Diceros bicornis minor: one gene and its partner. The protein of the gene in region 2 purifies or fractionates together with the protein of the main gene of each other region. This does not show direct contact. Links are inferred from orthologs where the notes say so. Each region holds a gene or a part of one and is shown on either strand. Other genes may lie near its edges.

Evidence for each region.
Region 1: the proteins of FBL (region 2) and TGS1 purify together in Homo sapiens (affinity purification with mass spectrometry; 3 studies listed by BioGRID and IntAct, counting the BioPlex papers as one, with this or other methods). This does not show direct contact. The link is inferred for Diceros bicornis minor from reciprocal best matches to the Homo sapiens genes FBL and TGS1.

What each region holds. Positions count from the first base shown.
Region 1 is NC_080772.1:9,611,877-9,622,582, reverse strand, and holds the start of TGS1 (trimethylguanosine synthase), read right to left. Parts: upstream 4,723-10,706; 5' UTR 4,570-4,722; coding exon 4,466-4,569; intron 1-4,465. UniProt on the Homo sapiens protein: Catalyzes the 2 serial methylation steps for the conversion of the 7-monomethylguanosine (m(7)G) caps of snRNAs and snoRNAs to a 2,2,7-trimethylguanosine (m(2,2,7)G) cap structure.
Region 2 is NC_080773.1:13,613,399-13,623,390, reverse strand, and holds the start of FBL (rRNA 2'-O-methyltransferase fibrillarin), read left to right. Parts: upstream 1-6,172; 5' UTR 6,173-6,271; coding exon 6,272-6,281; intron 6,282-9,992.

The DNA.
Region 1 (10,706 bases), on a different chromosome or scaffold from region 2:
ATCATTTTCTATTCTAGGCTTTGTATACAAGCACACAAAATTTTTACATAATTGTAATCATAGTGTAGATATTTTGTATTCTGATGTTAATTAACACAAAGCATTTTTCTCTGTAGTAACAACTACAGAGCCACTGTAATGATTATTTTTAAGAGTCCCATAACGTTGTCTTCTTCATATAGATAATGTATAGAAAATTGAATGTGTAGATGAAATAGAATTATTACTCCAATTACAGAGTTCATAAGACAGTATGTTAATTGTAATGTCCTCAGAAAAGAAAAATTAATTACAATACAATGTCCTAGCTCCTGCCTTTGAGAGGAAGTGTACAAATAACCTTATTTAGTATGAGAAGCAACTCAATTACTGAGAAGTTATTTGGAAATTATACTCATTTTCTATGTTTCTGCTATGCAGTACTGATTTTTCAGTTTAATAATCTATTTTAGAATTTTGCCAACAATCAAATCTGTTGTTTTTAGATTCTGAAACAGACCTTTTCCCTACCTGGAAAATCAGGGTTACACTTACAAGCCTCTGAACTTTCAGCCTGTCTCCCACTCCTGAGGACTTCTCAACAATTCCTACTGGCAACAATTCCAAGATCATATCTCCAAGTTCTTTTTGTTCTAAAGGGTTATAATTTGTCTGAGCATTAATTTAGCTAAAGGAAAAAGTCATTCTTTTCTCTTTACTTATTTTGAAGTTGGAATGTAGTTTCTAAAAGTGAAGTAGAGCTTGTAAGTTTTAAGAATATGTACGAAATTATCTGTAATGAAAAGAGTGCACGTTTTAATTCAAAAAGACTAAATTCAATATAATTGGTGATTTATATAGCAATTAAAATTGTTTTAAATAAAGTCACTTTAATTGAAATCCAGTTACATATTGTTTTCTAGAGGTATGGTATGAGAATTTTTCTCAACTTTTTATATTTTGTAACTTATGTTCTCTCCCTTCCTTTTCTTTTTTTGGAAAGGAGGCTTCATGAAGACAGCATCAAGACTCAAGTGGGCTGCAGGCTAAGAACTAACTATGTAACCTGGGCTGGTGCCCTATGCAAGCTGACTCTTCTTTCTTGGCCTGCACACCCAACAATACAGCCAGGTACTCTCCTGTGGTGAGCGCCTTGGCCCCGCCCACAGTGCTAGCCTGCACCCCTTTTGGGGAATGGGCCAGCCCAATAAGTCAGCCCAGGTCCAGAGGTAGGAGCAGAAAGACACTTCTTCATGGGTGAGAGGTGAAACAGGTATCCAAGGTTATTACTCGTACATCACAAGGCTACAGATAATCTGAGGCCGAAAGATTAGCAGTAAGAGAGAGAATGCTAGCTTTTAAATTTTTATGACAACTGTTTCTTACTTAGGGCAACTTTCAAGAATCTCCAAGAACATTCATCACTGAGAAAGATGTATTTCTGATGCCTGATATTCAAAGAATTTTCTGTTATACTTGCTAAGTGTTCTCTATAAAGCAATCTTTGAATTTGGTCAGTGTAACTCAAGCCAAAGAGCATAATGATTCTGGATGAGTATCTGGACCTGGCACATCGTAAGGACTAAATAAACTTTAACTGCTGAACTGAATCGTAAAGCTGGAGACCAGACCTGCACTGTAGTGACCCCACTAAGATACTGCTCCCCTAAGAGCCCTAAGCAGCTCATCATCACACCTCTGAATACAACAATCATCACTACCGTGCCTAAGTCATCTTTTTATTACAGTGCCTGACACATGGGTGGCTGATATACATGGTGAATAAATGAGAAATTTTGTGGGAAAAAACACATTCAAATGATTTTGTTGTGCTCACCACCAGTCACATGGGCATGATGAGATGTAAACACAGGTTCTTCAATTTCCAGAATAGTTCTCTATCTCAAATAAAATACATTAAAATATTTTAATAAGGCTCCAGTTGTCCTAGTGACTTTAGACCACTTAAATACTCAATTGGGAAGATTCAATAAAATCATATGTTCTAGACTAATTAGTGGGATAGTGGAAAGGCTATGGAGTCAACACAGACCTGGGGTAGAAAGCAGGGCTGCCACTTACCCGGCTGTCTGATTTTTTTTTAGGCCATTACTGAAACTCAGTTTTCTACTTGAATAAAGTAAGGATAGGAAGAAAACATCCCAGCTCAGGGGACTGCTGGAACGCTTAAACGGAAAAAAAAAAAAAAGTATGAAATGTAAAGCAATTACTGCCCGGCACTGAGCAAGTCAACAATCTAGTAGATTTTCTTTTTGCTGAGGAAGATTGGCCCTGAGCTAACATTTGTGCCCATCTTCCTCTATTCTGTATGTGGGACGTTGCCATAGCATGGCCTGATGAGTGGTGCATAGGTCCACACCCAGGATCCGAACCCGTGAACCCTGGGCTGCCAAAGCAGAGCGCACGAACTTAACCACTACACCACGGGGCCGGCCCTAATCTAGCAGATTTTTAAAAAATTTTTTACCAATTCAAGTGGATATTTTTTAGTTCTCATATAGCTTGTTACAGTACCAGCTTTCCAATGTACTCCTTCCCTCAAATGTTTGGTGACAGTATACTTGCATTCTACCTCTTTCTCAGTTAATCCATCTCTTCTCGTTTAATCTTTAAAAAACGTTGGAATTCTTCAAGGATGGATCCCACACCCCCCCACCCTTAAGTGATAAATTAATGGCTTCAATTACTATCTGCACTAGAATGGCTCAAGTTTTTAAGACCAGCCCAGACTTCGCCAGAGCTCCAAACCAATATATCCAACCATCTATAACATCCACCCTTGGATATCTCATAGTACTCCAAAATTAAAACATACAAAATTGACTGTCTTCTCACTACTGTCCCAAAATAAAAACCTATCACTCTCCCGTGATCTTTATCTCAGAGAAAGGCATCAATTCAAACCAGAAACCAAGGTGTTACCCTTGACCTAGTTTCCTCCTTCCCATCCTTTATCTTTCGTTTATTCCCCTACATTGAATCCAATCCCCTCAACTCAACAATTTTTCTGCTATAATTCCTTCTTTCTCCATTTCCACTGCCACCAATCCTAATCCAAGCCACCATCATCTGTAGCCTGGAAAATGATTTTAAGTGGTTCTCCTCCTCGGAACCACCCCCCACGCTGCTGCCGGAGTAACCTGTCTTCTACAAAGTCCTGCATATTTGACCCTGCCTCCCTCATCAACCCTGTCTTCTATCTTCCCCTCCCAGCCGTTCTGTTTCAGTTACACAGGCTTCTTTTGCTCCCTCAAGACTTTTACAGAGTTTTGCTTCTGGGAATGCTTCCTCCCACTCAAACACATCCCAGTTTATCTCCACACACTCTTCACACCTCTTTTCAAACACTACTTTCTCGAAATTAAATCTCTGTGATCTGTGGGCAAAGGTTAGGTTTCTGCTGCCATAGCATCCTGTACTTCTCTCCCACAGCACTTACAACTATAATTAACCAACTGCTTATGTAACAGTTGTCTTACTATTCATCACCCTTGCTAGAAAGTAAACTCAAAGGACATAGGGATGGGCTGTGTCTTGTTCCCCAGAGCCCACCAGGACTTAATACAAAGAAGCACAAAAAGCATTCATCGAATGAATACATGCATACACGAATGAAAAGATAATACTTTCTACATTAAATTTAGCACAGTGTTTAATTTCTTTTTGCATTAATTTTCTGATTACTCCACAAAAACACATGATGAATAGTAAGAATTTCTTCAAACTTAAATTCTACTACATTAAACTATATTAAAAGTCTGTCACATAAAATTCACTTCTGCAAGTTCTATCTAACAATTAAAATGATTAGGATAAATATACTTGTTTTAGAGATTAAAAGAAAAGATTTAAGTGGCTAAATGTACACATCTAATATAAAGAAAACTACCCCTAGAATCCAATTCTTTAGTCATTTTTTTTCCTGCCCGCTAGCTATCTTCCATGCAGGGCAATTTTTACCCGAAACAAATATTTCCCAAAAATAAAGACAGCTCAAAAACTGATGTAAATGTAGCTAAATCTTGTATCTCAGGTAATCAGAAGTCCTACTTATGTGCGTTTGCGCTTTAGCAAATCTTAAGGTTTTAAAAAAGATATTAACCAAAACAAGTTACCCATTTTCAAACCTTCACCTTGCGACGTCACGTCCATGAAAGAGACTGCATTTTACATATCACTTTCCCCCAATTTTGAAATGCCCCCTCAATTTATAAATACAAAATGGCATCTACGAGCTCCCGCACTTCCCCTAACAGCCTACAGAGGAGACCCACTCCCTCACTTCAGGGCAGCAGGCCGCCACTCCGCAGTGTGAGGACTTGTGCTGCCGCTGCTTAAACATCACCATGCCCAAGGGCCAAGGCCTCTGGTCGTGGTTTCCGGGATCACTTACAACTAGTGCTCAACACGTCCATTCCTGGGCAACCACGGTGCCAGAAACGACGAGGAACACGTTTTTACTTACTCCACGAACGCCCTGGAGCAGAGGCAAAGGATTTTATAGTCCTCCTCCAGGTCCTCGATGAAGAGAAACATCTCGGCCACGCGGCTCCACTTCTCGCAGCACATCCTCCACCTCGGTGGAGGCAGCCCTGCGGTAAACGGCGCGGGACCGGCCGCCCGGCCTCTGCTCGGTTCCTGGAGACCGGAGGAGGCCTCGCCGGCCCGTCTTGGGGCGAGTCAGGAACCAGCCCGGGGCCGCTCCAGGCGGGAGGAGGCTGCGGAGCCGCCACCGGAAGTGGCTCCCGGAGGCCACGGGAAGGGGCGGGGCGACGGGCGGTGTCACACTCAACCCCGCCCGGGCTGCAGCCGCAGCGCCGTTCGACTTTTTCCTCACAGGTTGAGCCAACCGCTCCAGTTTCTCCGCTTCCCGCGGCCGCTGAGCCACCGGAGAGCCCCCGCCGCTGCTCGAGGGTGAGGGCGAGCCGCCTCTGCTCCCTCCCGCCCGAGGTGCGTGGGCGCCCGCCGTGGTCTCCCCGCGCTCCTCCCCGCCCGGCGCCCGACGGCGCGTCAGACGCGCGGGGCTGGGAGCGGCCCGGGCCGCGCGTGCAGTCTCCCGGGGCGGGCGGCTCGCTCCCCGCCGGGCTCGGTGTTGGGCTCAGGCACCGGGGGGGGCCCCGCGAGCCGGTTCTCCTCGCCCCGCATCTCCCCTCGCGCCCGGAAACCTGCGTGTGGTCTCAGCTCGCCGCACGCGAGGCCGGGGGCTGGCCCGGTGACCTCCCGATGCCGGGAGCGCAGCCGAGCCTGCTGGTGTGGAAGCTCGGGGAGGCTGTGGAGATGCCGGGAGCGCAGCCGAGCCGCCGCCGGGGTGGAGGGTGAGCGTGCGCCTGCAGATGGTCAGGCTTCGAATCCTGGTCTGTGCCCCTTGTGCTACCTGTGTGACCCGCGCAGGCGGCTTAGCCTGTCTGAGCCTCGTCGTGATTGTCTGTAAAGTGGGGCGATCAGTAGTGCCTGCTTCCCAGGGCTGCGGAAGGCACTGAGGGAACCGTGCATATCACACCTCTTCTCTGTGCTGTGGGTAGTGTGGGTGCCCAATACTTTTTAGGCGCCAGGCACTGTCTGGGTCCCTGCGGTTTGCAGCTTGTGATACAGGTCTCTGCCCTCAAGCTGCTGGTTGATAAAAAAGTTACATGTGCACGTAATCAGGATGTCAAAACTGGAGCAGCACTCTACATTTGAAAAAAGCCGGCGGTCTTGGGTGCGCGGTGTTCGTCGAGACTGCCCAGGCAGCCTCCTCAAAGAAGCACGTTCAGACTTGACGGTTGTTGGAGCGGTTAGGGCTGGGTTTTCCATTTGATGCTGAAATTGGTTTGCTCTTTCTTTAGAGTATATAAAAACTGAGGTAAAAATCCAGACATTTAGGACAGTCACTAATATTTTGGCCACATTTATTGGTGGGTGGAAATAGAAGATTAATTTTCATATGAAATGTTTATTCCCACATCCTTACTGCTGCCTTTGATGTCAGAGAGATGCTCCTTTTAGTGACTCAAGAAGGTAGGAGTGCTGATGAGCAACATTTTACGGATGAGGCTGGGTTAAGAAAATAAGGGTAGAGCAGTAATTATCAAGCACTGGAAGATTTTAGCTAGAAATTGAAGGACATCCTAGGATTAAAAAAAAAGAATCCTTGAAAGGTAATTCATATCAGAACGTAGAGTTTGAAGCTTGAAATCTAAAAGGTATTGTTTTAAAGATAAAAAGGTTGAGTTTGGCGGATACCTTAGCTGAAATATTAGATAAACTTCAGCTTTATTGACTGTTTGAAATAGAATGCTTAGTCGCTAAAACTGAGTACTAAACTCCTGTTAAACCACTATTAAAAATGCAAAAAGAAAAAGGGAAAGTTAATTTGTGTTTCAGTGAGTATTTCTTTTAATTGGCATTTTCAGCATATCCTCAATGTGGCTCATATACTGAAAGTAAGAAATGCATCTGCTACCATTCATGGTGGTAGAACTGGTTTGTTGTTAGGCTGTCCAGTGGATGCTGACTCCTAGCGCCCCTGTGGACAGCAGAGTAGAACCCTGCCTGGTCTTTTGCGCCATCCTCTCGTCCTTCCAGCACTGTATCAGATGATGCTCTGCTGCTATTCATAGGGTTTTCATGGCCAATTTTTTTGAAAGTGGGTGGCCAGGTCTTGCTTCCTAGCCTGTCTTAGTCTAGAAGCTCCGCTGAAACCTGTCCGCCATGGGTGACCCTGCTGGTGTTTAACATACCCGTGGCACAGCTTCCAGCACACAGCAACACGCAGCTGCCGCAGTATGACAACCACCAGATGGGTGGTGTGGTTCCCTAACTGGGACATGAACCTGGGCCGAGGGGGTGAATCTTAACCACTAGACCACCAGGACTGGCAAAAAGTACTGGTAATGGGTGTTTAAAAACAGATTTATTTCTTTAAGGTTTTGTAGAAAACAAACCAAAAAATCCTCTGTTCTGATTTATCCATTTTTGAAATATTCTGATTTTAAACATCTGTAAAGTCAATAATAGGAAATATTCCTCACTATCAGTATCAACATGGTAATATTTCAGCCTGTCAACTCTTTCTTACAAGTTACATGAATTCCAGATGAGAAAATTAAGATACTTTAAATGTGATGCATAGGACTGTGTTTTATCATAGATTTTTTTAAATAGGAAATAACCTGGAATTTTGGTAACTAAAATATTATATCTCCCTGAAAAATCTTTTAACAATTAGAATTTTTATTGGATTAAAATAAAGTGGTAAGGAGTCAAGTACAGCCTCTGGTAAATCGGAGGGGAAGAAGGGCCAGGCAGAAGTAGAGGGAAGACAGAAATTGCAGTCATAATATTTTCAGCCTTTCTGTCAGAGAGCGAGAGAGAGATCAAAGAAAGCGTAATGAAAACCTGAGTAGGAAGTAGGAGAACTGGGTTTTAATTTTGGCTCTTGATTCTTCACTGAATTAATTTAGTAACTTTGGGCAAGTCAACTTGGCTTTCTGTTTTTAACTTTTTTCTTCAAAATTAAGAGGTTGCATTCAATGAGTTCTAAAGCCATTTTCTCATATTATCAAAAGTAAGTTAAATTTTATCAACTCAAAGCATGTTATTCAAACTCCACTGATAGTTCTCTAGGGGCAAGTTTTAGGACACTGTCTTTGTCCATATTTTTATAAAAGATTTGGATGAACATAGTTCAGATCTGTCTGTATTTAGTTGGCATTTGTCAGGTGCCAAAAGCACATATTATTCTAAGTGCTTTATGTAGATTCTCTCATGTAACTATTGATTTTGCTTACGGATGTATCCCTGGTGTTTAGAGTAGTTCGAGCACAGACTACTTAGTCATAAATATTTGTTGAGTAAATAAATGAATGACGCAGTGACGTAAGTCTTCTTGGGCTATCCCCTCTCTTGTACACTGTGTTTTGTGCCCTCGGGCCTAGTCAAGGACAGGCCTCAACAGTTATCTCCTCTCCTGCATCACCCTTTTCTCAGGCTCCCATTGACACGTTATTACTGGTATTAAAAACTGCTGCATTTTCTCTCATCTTAAAACAACAACAGACTTGACCCACGTTCCCCTCTAGATGCCTGTTTCTCTGTTCCTTTTTGTAGCAGTATTCCTCTAAGAGTTTTCCATATCTGCTGTTTCCAATTCATTTCCTCCCATTCGTTCTTGAACTTACTCCACCTGACTATCATCCCCACTGTATCAAAACAGTTCTTATCAGGGCTTGCCAGTGCCTCTGTGTTGTAAAATCCAGTGATCAGTTATCATTCCTTATCTTACTGGACCTCAGCAACTTTCAAAACAGCTGGATACTCCTTCCTTCTTGAAACACTTTCTTACTTTGACGTCCAGGATGCCACTCCTGGAAGGAGGATGCTGGTTCCTCATTGTCTTCCCAACATGTAAAATGTTGAGTGTCCCAAGGCTCTTTTTTATTCTATATTTATTCTGGAAATTCTTTTTTATTCTATATTCATTCCCTAGAGGGATCTTCTTTAGTTTCATGGTTTTCAGTACTGTCTATATGTCTCCAATTCCCAGATAAACTTCTCTAGCCCTGACCTTCCTACTAAACTCTACTTATGTCCAGCTGTCTCTTTAACATCTTCACTTGATGTCCAGTAGAATCTTAACACGTTCAAAACTGACTTCCTGATCTCTATCCTCCCCCACACCTGTTCTTCCTGCACCTCCATCTTTCCACAAGCAAGCTAATAATAATAATGATGGTGACGATGATGATAATAATAGCAATACTTATTTAGCACTTGTAGAGTGGAAGGCACTCTTCTAAGCTTTTTTTACATATAATCTTCACAACAGTCTTATTAGGTAAGTACTGTTATTATCCCCATTTACAGAGGGGGAAACTGAGGCAGAGAAATGTTAAGTAACTTGCCAAGGTCACACAGTAAGTGGCAGAGCCTCCCAGAATACAAACCCATGTTGCCAAAAAACCAGGGGGTCGTCCCAGACCTCTTTCTCACTCACGTTCTACATTCATTCACCAGCAAATCCTCTTGGCTTTATCTTCAAAACATAGCCAGAAACGGACCCTCTCTTAGCACCTTCAGTCTGCACACTTGTCTAAGGCGCTTTCATCAGTCACCTCGGTGATTGCAGTGACTTCCTTTTTGCTCCCTGGACAGGGTATTCTCAACCCAGCAGTCATTTAAAACCCAGGTCAGGCAATCTCACCCTTCTGATGCCATGTCCATCCCACTTCTATAAAAGCTGGCCTGCAAAGTTTTACAGTGCTACCTCTCTCTGTCCATTTTTGACTGCTCTCCCTATCTCTCTTCCTCAGCCTGCCGACCTTGCTGCTCCTCAGACCACACCAAGCGCACATCCTTTGTACTTACTGTTCTTTTAGCCAGGGATTCTCTTCCAAATGCCCACATGGTTTACTTTCTCACTTCTTCAGGTCCCTGTTCAAATGGGTGTTTTAGAGGCCTCCCCAGACTACCCTATGTGACATACCGACCCCCTCCCCACTCCTACCCTATTGCCTTTTATAGAACTCCATATTCCTCTTTCCCTGCTGTATATTTTTCTCCATAACACCTATTATCCTTTGATTATTATTATCCCACTTTTACAGATCTGTTATATACTGTTATTATCCCAGTTTTATATGTACTGTTATTATCCCAATTTTACAGATTATCCTGTTATTATCCCAGTTTTACAGATCTCAGCAAACTGAGGCACAGATGGGTTAATGTACAAGTTTCTCTCAATATCATAACTAGAGTCAATCACAGGGAGTGACCTGAGTGGTGACAAATTATGAAACCAAGGTCTGAGGAGTGGTTGAAAGAACTAAGGATTTTGACTAGAAAAGGGGATTTTGCAGCTCATGATAGCTGTGCTGAAACTTAAGAGATGGTCTAATGGAAGAGTTTCTACGGTGCAGAACTCTTCCCCAGTAGGGAAGAGTACAGTGAGGTAAGTATAGGGAAGATATTTTTAGCAGTTCAATGGATAGTTCTGAAGATGGAATGGGACACCTTTTGAGTTTTCTGTTCTGGAAGGGTTTAAATCAAAATCGGGGATGACCATTTGTGGAGAAGGTTCTTGCACGCAGCACACTGCGGCCTGTTGAGGGACTGCTAGATCTCGTGAAGGTTTCCGTGTAACCTCTCTCACTGGAACTCTGCCTCTGCACTGTCTCCCTTCCCTTTACTGTGTTTCTTAAGTGTATATATTAAATCAGAATGTGAGTGAGGTGAGAAAGGGTAGTTCTATTACCAATTTGGGTGGGGGGAGGTACTAAAGAAGGTTTTAAAACCACAAGATTTTACAATCTTATTAAAAATCGGAAATGAGACTAGCTCGTTGGGGGCAATTGTATTAAGCATTAAGAGTCGGATATTAAAATAATTGGTTTTTAGGCCTTTGAAAAGCTCCTTTTAACATATTTGAGAGGCTGTCATAAATTTTGATTTATTAACAATATTTAAAAACTTTTTCTATTGAGGTGTAATTCACCATAACATTCACCATTTTAAAATGTATAACTCAGTGGTTTTTAGTGTAGTCACAAAGTTGTACAACCATCACTGCTATCTAATTCTGGAACATTTTTTTTTAACAAATGCATGTTAATGCTCTTGGTTCAAAAAAAAATGAGTTAGCTCAGATTCTACTGCTTTTCCTAGTACTTTTCCTTTTTGCATAATTGTTTCAATCCCTGTTCATCTGCATGCAGAGCTGCAGCTAT
Region 2 (9,992 bases):
ATATCCACCATATGCAAAGAGCTCCTTCAAATCAATAAGAAAAAGACAACAGCCCAATTAGAAAAAATGGGTTGAGGATATAAACAGACAATTGACAGAAAAAGAAATCTAAATATGTTAAATGCATTCAGTATGTCAAGTTATTCATGTACGGTATTTCTGAGCTTCACAACAACCCTGCAAAATGAGTATAGATATAAAGAAATAGGCTTAGTGAGGATAAATAACTTGCCCAGGAGCAAACAGCTTGTAATGATGGAGGCTAGATTTGAATCGAGATACGTCTGTCACCAAAGCCAGTCTCTTCCCCTGATTCTTGCTGTTGAGTCGCACCCAGGCTCAATTTCCTTTCAAGAAAGAGAATCGAGAGGTCCTAAAAATAGAGAAGAAAAAGCAAGAATCCAATAGAAAAATAGGCAAAAGATCTGACTATTTCATAGAAAAAGAGATACAAATGGCACTTAAATAAAAGAAATGCTTAATCCTGCCCACAGTAAGAGAAATGCAAATTAAACTACCCCAAGACACCACTTTTCACCTATCAGATAGGCAAAAATACAAAAACTCGACAATATAATTTATTGACAAGGCTCTGAGGAAGAGAATACTTTTGTATGTTACCAGTGGGGATGCAAAATGTATAAATCCAATGCAGGGAAATTTGGCAGTATCTGGCAAAATTACCAGCAGTATTGACCCAGCAGTCTCTCTACCAGGAATCTAACCCAAAGATACAATGGCAGTAAAAGGATGTAAGCCCAAGGCTGTTCATTGCAGCGCTCTTCATAATGGACAAGATTGGAACAACTCAGTTGTCTGTCAGTAGGGGACTGGTTGAATAGACGATGGTTCATCTACATGATGGACAACTATGCAGATGAATGAAAAATACCAAAGCTCTCTATACACTGTTTTGGAGGGATCTCCAGGATATATTATGAAGTGAAGAAAGCAAAGTTAGAACCGTGTACATAATAAGAGAGCTACGAGGAGAGGCACAAGGGGGCTTGTCGGGTACTGGTAATGTTCTATTTGTTGACCTGGGTGGTGGTTAGGTGGATTGTTCCCTTTGTGATTAACTCATAAACCTGCACAGTTACATATATTTTTCTGTAGGTGTGTTGTACTTCCAAAAAACCGTTTAAAACAATGAATTATACTCTCTGAAGATTCTTAGCCAAAAAATGAGTGTGTGTGTGTGTGTGTCTGTGTTTGTGTGTGTGAGAGAGAGAGAGACGGAGAGAGAGACAGAGAACAATCAAATGAGGGGAACTTGTTTGGACTCTGATTTGAACAAGCAGCAATTTTTAAAAATCACATTTTTAGACCATTGAGTAAATATAAATATGGACATGTTATTAGATTATATAAAGGACTCCTTGTTAATTTTGTTAAGTGTAATAATGTAAGAAAACATCCTCTTCTCTTTTCTTGAGATACATGCTCTTCTCTTTTCTTGAGATACATACTTAAGTATATGAAAGTGAAATGGCATAATATTGAGATTTGCTTTAAAATACTCTAGCAGAAAAAAAAAAGTGGGGCCATACATAAGGCTGACAAAGTGTTGACAGTCATTGAGGCTGGGTGAGGAGTAAATGGAGTTTCTTATATTCTCTACTTTTGGATTTAAAATTTTGTTATAAATTTTTTTAAATTAATCAAGTCGTAAAGGTCTCAGTCATAACAGCCTCTGAAGAGTTCTGCATACTTGGTCCTAATCTGTTTTTTCACTGAAAGATGTTTGCAACACTAGCCCTCATGACCCCGCCGTGGCCATTCCTTCATTCATTCAACAAATGTGTTTGAGCACCTGCTGTACGTTAAATTTGAGATGTCTTGTGTTAAGCTGAAAAATGCTCCAGAAAGACCAACCACGTGATTAGAGGGTTGGAACTTTCAGCACCACCACCCCCACCTCTGGGAAGGGGAGGTAGACTGGAGATTGAGTTAATCATCAATGGTTAACCATTTAATCAATCATGCCTTTGTAATGAAAGATCCATAAAAATCCTAAGCAATTGGGTTTGGAGAGCTTCTGGGTTGGTGAACACGTTGAAGTGCTCAGAAGCTGGCACGCCCAGAGAAGGAATGGTAGCTCCGCGCTGCTTCCCCCATTCCTTGCCCTTCGCATCTCTTCCATTTGGCTGTTCCTGAGTTGTATCCTTTTTCCTGAATCTTATAAGCTGTTCCAGCAAATTGTTGAACAGAGGAAGGGGTCGTGGGCTCTCCTGATTTATAGCCAGAAGTATGGGTGGCCTGGACTTGCCATTGGTGTCTGAAGTGGGGGCAGTCTTGTGGGGCTGAGCCCTTAACCTGTGGGGTCTGCGCTAACTCCGGGTAGTGTCCAAATTGAACTAAATTGTAGGACGCCAGTTGGAGTCTGCAGAGAATTGGAGAATTGCTTGGTGTGGTAAACTCATGCATTTGGTGTCAGAAGTGAAGTGTGTAAGTACAGAAACACTTTTCTTATACAGCATATGAAGTAACAGGGACAGTTGGATGGCAGATATGGCGATGGGAGGATATTAAAGTTTTCTTGTGATTACTTCTATCTTCTCATTCAAGTGGGAAGCAAAGTCATCATCTAAGAGTAAGAAAGGAGGAGAAGGTTCTGAGGTTTAATGAGAAAGGAGAAAGTGTAAAATAATCCTTCAAGCAAGTCCAACCACTTTGGAAAATAGTGTGTCAGTTTCTTAAAAAGGTAAACATACTCTTACCATATGACTCAGCCATTTGACTCCTAGGACTCTTCTCAAGAAAAATGAAATCACATGTCCACACAAATATTAACACATGAACGTTCATGGCAGCATTATTCATAATAATCAAAAACTGGAAACAAATCAAATGCCCATCAATAGATGAATGGATAAACAAAATGTGGTGTATCCATACAATGGAATCCTCAGCAATAAAAAGGAATGAATGACTGATACATGCAACAACATGGAACATGATGCTAAGCGACAAAAGCCAGACACCAAAGACTACATATTGCATGATTCCATTTGTATGAAATGGGATAATGGAATTGTTCTGAAACTGGATCGCAGTGATGGTCGCACGACTGTATGAGTTTACTAAAATTCATTGAACTGTGCACTTAAAACAGGTGGATTTTATGGTATGTGAATTATGCCTTAACAAAGCATTTAAAAGTTAACACATGTTACCAATACTACCAATTGGGAAAAAAATAAAATGGGAGACTGAGTGGATTAGGGACATGTGATAGGATGGCTGGGCAGCACTAGGGCCCATCGGGTTTGTGGTCATGAATCCAAAGTGAGACCAGCCAGAGTGGGTGTGAGTTTTTCTCCATCCACATCCAGCTGCCAGGGTGCAGGTGCAGGGGAGGTGGACAGTGGACTCAACTGGGTGAAAAAGACAAAGTTAGAAAAGAGCACATATTGTGAAGGTGTGAGCAAGGGAGTGGTGATCATGATGGATGGGGACTCAGGCTGGGTGGTGGGAGTGGTATGGTCATGGGGAGGTGAGGGACAGGGAAAAGGCAGTCAGCTAAATGAACTGGTGGAGCTGAAGGATCATTGGAGCAATAGCTCTAGAGGGAGTGGGCTAGAGAGACAGGAGGCAATGGGCAGACAGTGAGATGCATGGATCTGAGATTCTGCAGAGTGTCAACCTAAAAGGAAAATTTGGCTGTTATTTTACCCTCAAAATGAGTTTATTCAGGAATAGCCAAAAGAATTGCAATTTGGGATGTGCACACTATGGTGAACCATAGGCAAATCCAGAAAACAAAGGAAAGAAGCTCACTTTTGTACAGAAAAAGGAGTGGGGAGGGGCTGTTCTAAAGGAAAGTCCATTGGGAGAAAGTAACAGTTCAGGGTGGCAATGGCTTCTCACTGGCGGTTCTCATTGGCTGGGCTGTTGCCGGGTGGGGAGAAAAATCTTCCTTCAGTAGTACAGTAATTGTACTTCCTGTCGGAGATGCAAGCTAAGCCATTTCCTGTTTGAAATAATTAATGATATATGCTAGGGCATGAGAGCGCCCCCTGCAGGCCTTCCAGACTCCAATTTAGTTGAGGTTTCCTTTCTTATTTTGCACAAAGGGCTGCAGTTTTGGAGTTGTCACTATCTGGGGACTGGTCTTTCTCCCTCATCGTCACCATTGTGTCCCCAGCACAAAGTCTAGGTGTGACCGTGGGAAGGAAGGGTTGGGTGGAGGACAAGATCACTAGAGGAGAGGAGATTAAGGCATAGAGAGGCCAGAACCGTCCCAGAAGCATCAACCTGAATATGGAAATCACCAAGAATTATGATCAGAGCAGCTTGAGTGGCAGTGAGCCTGGAGCCAAAATGATGAAGTGAGCTGGGAGTTGATAGAGCTAGCAGCAAGAATGAGAGCAGGTGCTATAGTATAAGGTTCAAAATTAGGGGCTTAGGGAGGAGGCAGAGAGAAAGGCAAAGAGCAAGGAGGAGAAAACAGCTCCTGCTTGGAAGGGCTGCACAGAACGGCATGTCTTCAGGGGAGAGCTAGGTTGTGGTTAGAGCAGGAAGGTAAAAGGAAGGCTCAGAGGGAGCTGAGGATATGAGAGATATAGGGAAAAGCCCTCAATGGCTCCCCCTCCCAGCCCTGACCATTCTGCCTGTACCTCCCCCATTCTGGCCCTCACCACTCTGGGTTGACACTGTCTGAGACCTGTCTGTCTCCCCCACTGGACTGGCAGTTCTAGGAGGGCAAGGCATGGGACTCTTTCAGTCACCATTGTGTCCCCAGCACAAGACCAGCTGGTGGGGCCAGCCTGGTGGCATAGTGGTTAAGTTCACACACTCTGCCCCAGCAGCCCGGGGTTTGCGGGTTCAGATCCCAGGCACAGACCTACACACTGCTCCTCAAGCCATGCTGTGGCGGCGTCCCACATACAAAATAGAGGAATACTGGCACAGATGTTAGCTCAGGGACAATCTTCCTCACACACACAGGAAAAGACCAGCCGGCACCCACTAACTACTCACTGATAGTGCCAATTTCAGGTCTGCAGAGCAAGTTGGCAGGTGAAATACCTCAGAGCCAGGAAATGGTGCCAGGATTCCAGAAAATAGGGCTGGCAACCCTAAATCTGCACTGTAGCCTGACTGTTTTTGTCCTTTAGAAAAAAAAATGTTTTAATTGGAAGGCAAACAGTAAAAGCCATAAGAAGTAGGTAACATCCTCCTGAATTGGAGCCATTTGAAGTACTATGCAGCTCCTGGATATCCAGAATAGACTCAGCAGATTTTCCATCTTAATATTTAAACAAATTTTCAGGAATGTTTCTGTACGGCTGGAACACCCTGCACAGAGAATGTAAAACAGCATGGGTTCATTCATTCATTCAACAGACATTTACTGAGCACTCACTCTGTGCCAGGCTCTGTTCTAGGTACTGAGTGATACAGCAATGAATGGAACAGACTAGTGGACTCTCCTGGAGGTTTTAAGGAATTTTTCATAGTAGCATTTGTTTTGCTTTGTGGAATGAATATAGGCATGAATGTTAATTTATAAAATTACAAATCACAAAATTCTCAATACTTATGCAGAATCTGCTCACTCCTTTACCTCCTTTTAGCTCTTTGCTCAAAAGTCACCTGATGCGTTCCTTGACCACCCTACGAGAAATGTCACTCCCTCCACACACAACACACACCAGTCCCTATCTCCCTTCCCTGCCTTCTAATAACTTGTTTGGCGTCTGTTTCTCCCATTAGAAGACGAGCTCCAGGAGGGTGGGGATTTTTATGTCTTGTTCACTGCTGTATTCCCAGCGCCTAGCATAGTGCCGGGGACATACAAGGCGCACAATAAATGCTTTTCGAGTGTATGAATGGGAGCCCAGAGTCGGTCGGTCCCTGTTCTTGGGGAGTGGAAATGGATCACAAAGGCTTTTGGGTGTAGAGGGGACCTTTGGGAGCTAACGAGGAATAGAGAAGAGGGGCCGAGGGCACGGCCCGTGCGAAGGCTGGGAGATGATCCCTCTTTACCGGGGTGCTCGAACCGGTGATGGGGAAGCGGGAAGTGTGTTTAGGGTACCGATCGCTGCACAGGTCAAAACAGCGTGGAGAGCGACGAGGCTCGGGAATCCCCGCCCACAGCACAGGCGCCGGGCTCCGGGCGGAGCTGGCCTCCGAGGGGCGGGGCTGCGTGGTTGCGTCACGCCCCGTACGTCGCCGCGCGCGTGCGCTCTTTTCCACGTGCGAAATCCCCGGGCTCGTGGAGTTCCGGACGCGGCAGGCTCGTGAGCCGGGCAACTCCGCTCTCGCCATGAGGCCAGGTGCGGCCAGGGTTGGGGTCGAGGGTCAGGGACTGGGGCCTGGCGGGAATCGGGGTCCCAGGCCGGAATCGGAGTGGGGGGTCCTTGGCCTCAGGGCAGGGGTTCTGGGCTCGGATCCGGTCTCGTGTGGGGAGGGGGAGGTCACGGTCGTGAGTCCCTGGAACTGGAGGGTCCTGAACTGGGATTCATCTCACTGAGGCCGTCGTTAGGGGTCTTGGACATTGGGCCGGGGGCGGCAGTCGGGGATACTGACCCAGAGTCTGGATCCAAGCGTTTGGGGTCTGGGATCTCTGGGCATGGGTTTGGGAACATGTCTTGGTTTGGAGGTGGCGAGTCCCTCGTGCTGGGTCTGCGAGGCCCCCGTTTGCCTCCCGTATCGCCGCCGCTCCCACCGTCCCCTTAGCCCCCAACCCAGCTTCTCAGAGAGGGCCGGAGTGGATGAGGACTCCCGCCTTATAGCGTGTGGCCCTGTCTGGCCCACGTTCCCGCTCTCGACTCTTCCGAGGAGGCGGGTCCCTGAGGATGGAGTAGAGATCCTGGGCCTAGTGATTCTCAACTCAGCGGTGAGATGAAACTTCACAAGCCCAGGATAGGATTAGCGTGGGGGAGGGGGGAGGTAGTCACAGGGCATAAGTGCTTTTATCCTTTCGATTTTCCCTGAGATTCTGATGAACCCACCCCACCTCCCTCATGGTGTAATGATGAGAGCCTTGGCTTTGACAGCTGAAGGGTCTCGGTTCAAAGTTTCAATCCTGGCTCTGCTTCTTAACCTACTGTGTGACCTTGGGCAAATGGCTTTACCTCTCAGAGCCTCAGTTTTCTCAGCAATAAAATGGCTCCCAGTTATAATTTAGTGAGATCATGTTAACAAAAAATAATACATGGTGGTAATCATTTCACAGTGTAGAAGTGTATCAAATCAACAGGTTGTACATCTTAAACTTAGACAATGTTGTATGTCAATTATGTCTCAATAAAGCTGGGGAAAAAATAGCACAGGGCTTGCCATATAATAGTATTGGCTCTAATTGTTATCTTTATCTTCTCAAGGGGAACAAAATTAGGGTCTTTCTCCCTGGTGTCTCAGCTCTTCCTAAGTCAGGCCATACCCCTCCCCACAACTTTCTCCACTGGAGCTGAGGAAATCTTCCACTGTGATCAAACGGGTCTATTTTCCTAGTACAGGTTTTCTTTTTTCTTTTTTTTTTGTTCTGGTGTGCGGAGAGATGGGGTCATTGCGGGGGTGGGGTTTGTGAATCCATGCCCCCTCCCAGGCTCTCTTTCTCTTCAATGTTCAGGGAGCTACTGATGAAGTGGGGTGGGAGGTGCCAGGCTCTGTATGTCCTGAGACCCTGGTATCCCTGCAGGCACCCTGTGGTCTGATTCCCCCCAGGAATGGAGGATACACCTTCCTCCCAACCCTTCCTCCGTTGCGTTAGGATATGAAGTGGTAAAAGTAAATCTACCAGGTTTCAGGAATCGGCTCTGCGGGAATGATTTTAGTCTGAATGAGAGGAAGCCTTTGGGAGATGTTGAGCAGGGATGCTGTCAGTTAGACTTGATTGACACTTTTAAAAGGATCCCTCTTGCTTCTGTGTGTATAAGACTTTTGGGGAGCAAGAGTGGACATGGGCACATGGGTGGAAGTTTGGTGCTGTAGTCTACTAGGAGATGATGTGGCCTGGACCAGGGTGAGAGCAGTGGACCTGATTGACAAATCGTCATGATTTGGGAATATATTTTGAAGACAGAGCCAACAGCTTGTATGTGGGTGTGAGCTAGAGGAATTAAGGATAACTAAGGGCTTTTGCGTGTGTAGCTGGAAGGATGGAGTTGCCGTTTTTGAGATGGGCACAGCTGTGGGAGGAGAGCAGCTTTAAACCAGGGGGTCTGTGGACCCTCCACCAAAAACTTCTAGAAAAATGTGTGTGAATATGTGTTTTTCTGAGCAATGGGTACTTTGAGTACCTTTTTCTAAGAGCCCCAGGACCTGAAATGGATTAAGCTATGCTTTGAGTATCTGGGACTGCAAATTTACCTTCGTGCCCATTGTCCCCCATGCCGTGCCCACACTTCCCAGGTCTCTGTTCCTCGGGCCTGGGTTGAGAACCTCTTAGGCCTAGTGGTTTCTTCCTAAGTAGGAGGGAGGGGGGACTCATTCCCCCGAGTTTGAATAATTCAAACTGTGTGCCAGGCAAACTGTGTGCCAGGCAGTGTATTAGGTGAAGTGCTTTGTGTGTATTAAGTCATTTACTCTTGACAACTCCCTGAGGTGAGCACTGTGTTATCTCCATATCTCCGTCTTATAGGTGAAGTTTTCAAGACTCCCACAAACCTTCCCTGCTCTCTAGGGTCGTGAATTGCGTGGCCATCTCGCTGGATGGACTACATGAGCTGCTTGAGGGGAGGGGCCAGGGCTCTGGTCACCATCTGATCACCTGCTTTCTGAATGAACAGAGAGGGTGCTCTCTGCAGGAGCAGAGCCCAGGGATCTAAGGGTTATCACAGACAGCTCATTGAATGTTTACCAAGCCCCTGCTTGGTGTCAGGTGTTGCGCACGGTGCTGGGGATGCTGCGCTGACCAAAACAATTAAACATGCCTGTCTCTTTGGAGCTTGATTCTGGTGGAGGAGGCAGGCGGTGATAATATTAAAAACGCCGTGTGTGGTCATCGATAGGAAGAACGAGCAAGCACGGGAAAGGTGGGGTAGCAGAGAAGGCCTGTCTGAGGAAGGAACATTTAATCAGAGACCTGAGTGCAGGGAAGGAGGTGGGCCTAGCACGTGTCCACAGGAGCCAGGCAGGGGGACAGCAGATGTTAAAGCTTTAGATGCCGGAGAGCGAGTTTGTTCTTGGAGAGGAAGAGCGTGGGGCCCAGGATAGAGAGAGCGCAGTCAGAAGTCAGCAGAAGCCAGGGCCTTGTGATGGAGTTCACAGTTTGGGCCACACATTAGAATCCCCGGGGGAACTTTAAGAAGCCCAGGCCCCGGCCCCTAGCCCAGACAGTTCAATCAGAATCTCTAGGTTCCAGGGATTAGCCAAAGGGGAGACCCACTGATATAGGGTTTTGGAAGCCAGGGAAAGGAATTTTGATTTCATTTTGAATGTGATGGAAAACCATGGAAGGGATTCGGACAGGGGATGCTGAGATCTGATTTGCTGTTTGCTGTTTTAAACAACTCCGTCACTAGCTGCTCCGTGGACAGTAGGCTGTAGAGGGGGAGACGATAAAGGCAGACAGCTCTTGGTTACGTGAGGAGTTTGAAACTGTTCATTTTTAACAATCAAATTAGGAATAGCGATTAGAAATTCCACCTTTTCATCTTTAACGCCATTCAGATGCATGAAGCTTTCAGAGTGTGAATACAATGCACCTTTACAAAAACTTGAGCAAGTGTACTAGTGACTAGTTTACATCAGGTGAGATCATTTTAAACCATCACTCATTTTCACGCTATTGTCTTATAACTCGTAGTTTTTCTGAATGGTACTGCAGAGCTTTTGAAACCCACACAGAAAAGTCACATATTCAATCTGTTAGCACCAGAATTCTGTCTGCTCCCAACATTGTTTTGTGCTCCGTGAAGTGAACAATGTTTGCTTTCTCCTGAAGTGATGAAAATAAAGTCTCTCCAAATCTTTTTCTTTTTCTTAAACTTTACATCTTGTTGACAAGCCCTAAACTGCTTAAGAACTGTTGCCCATCCATG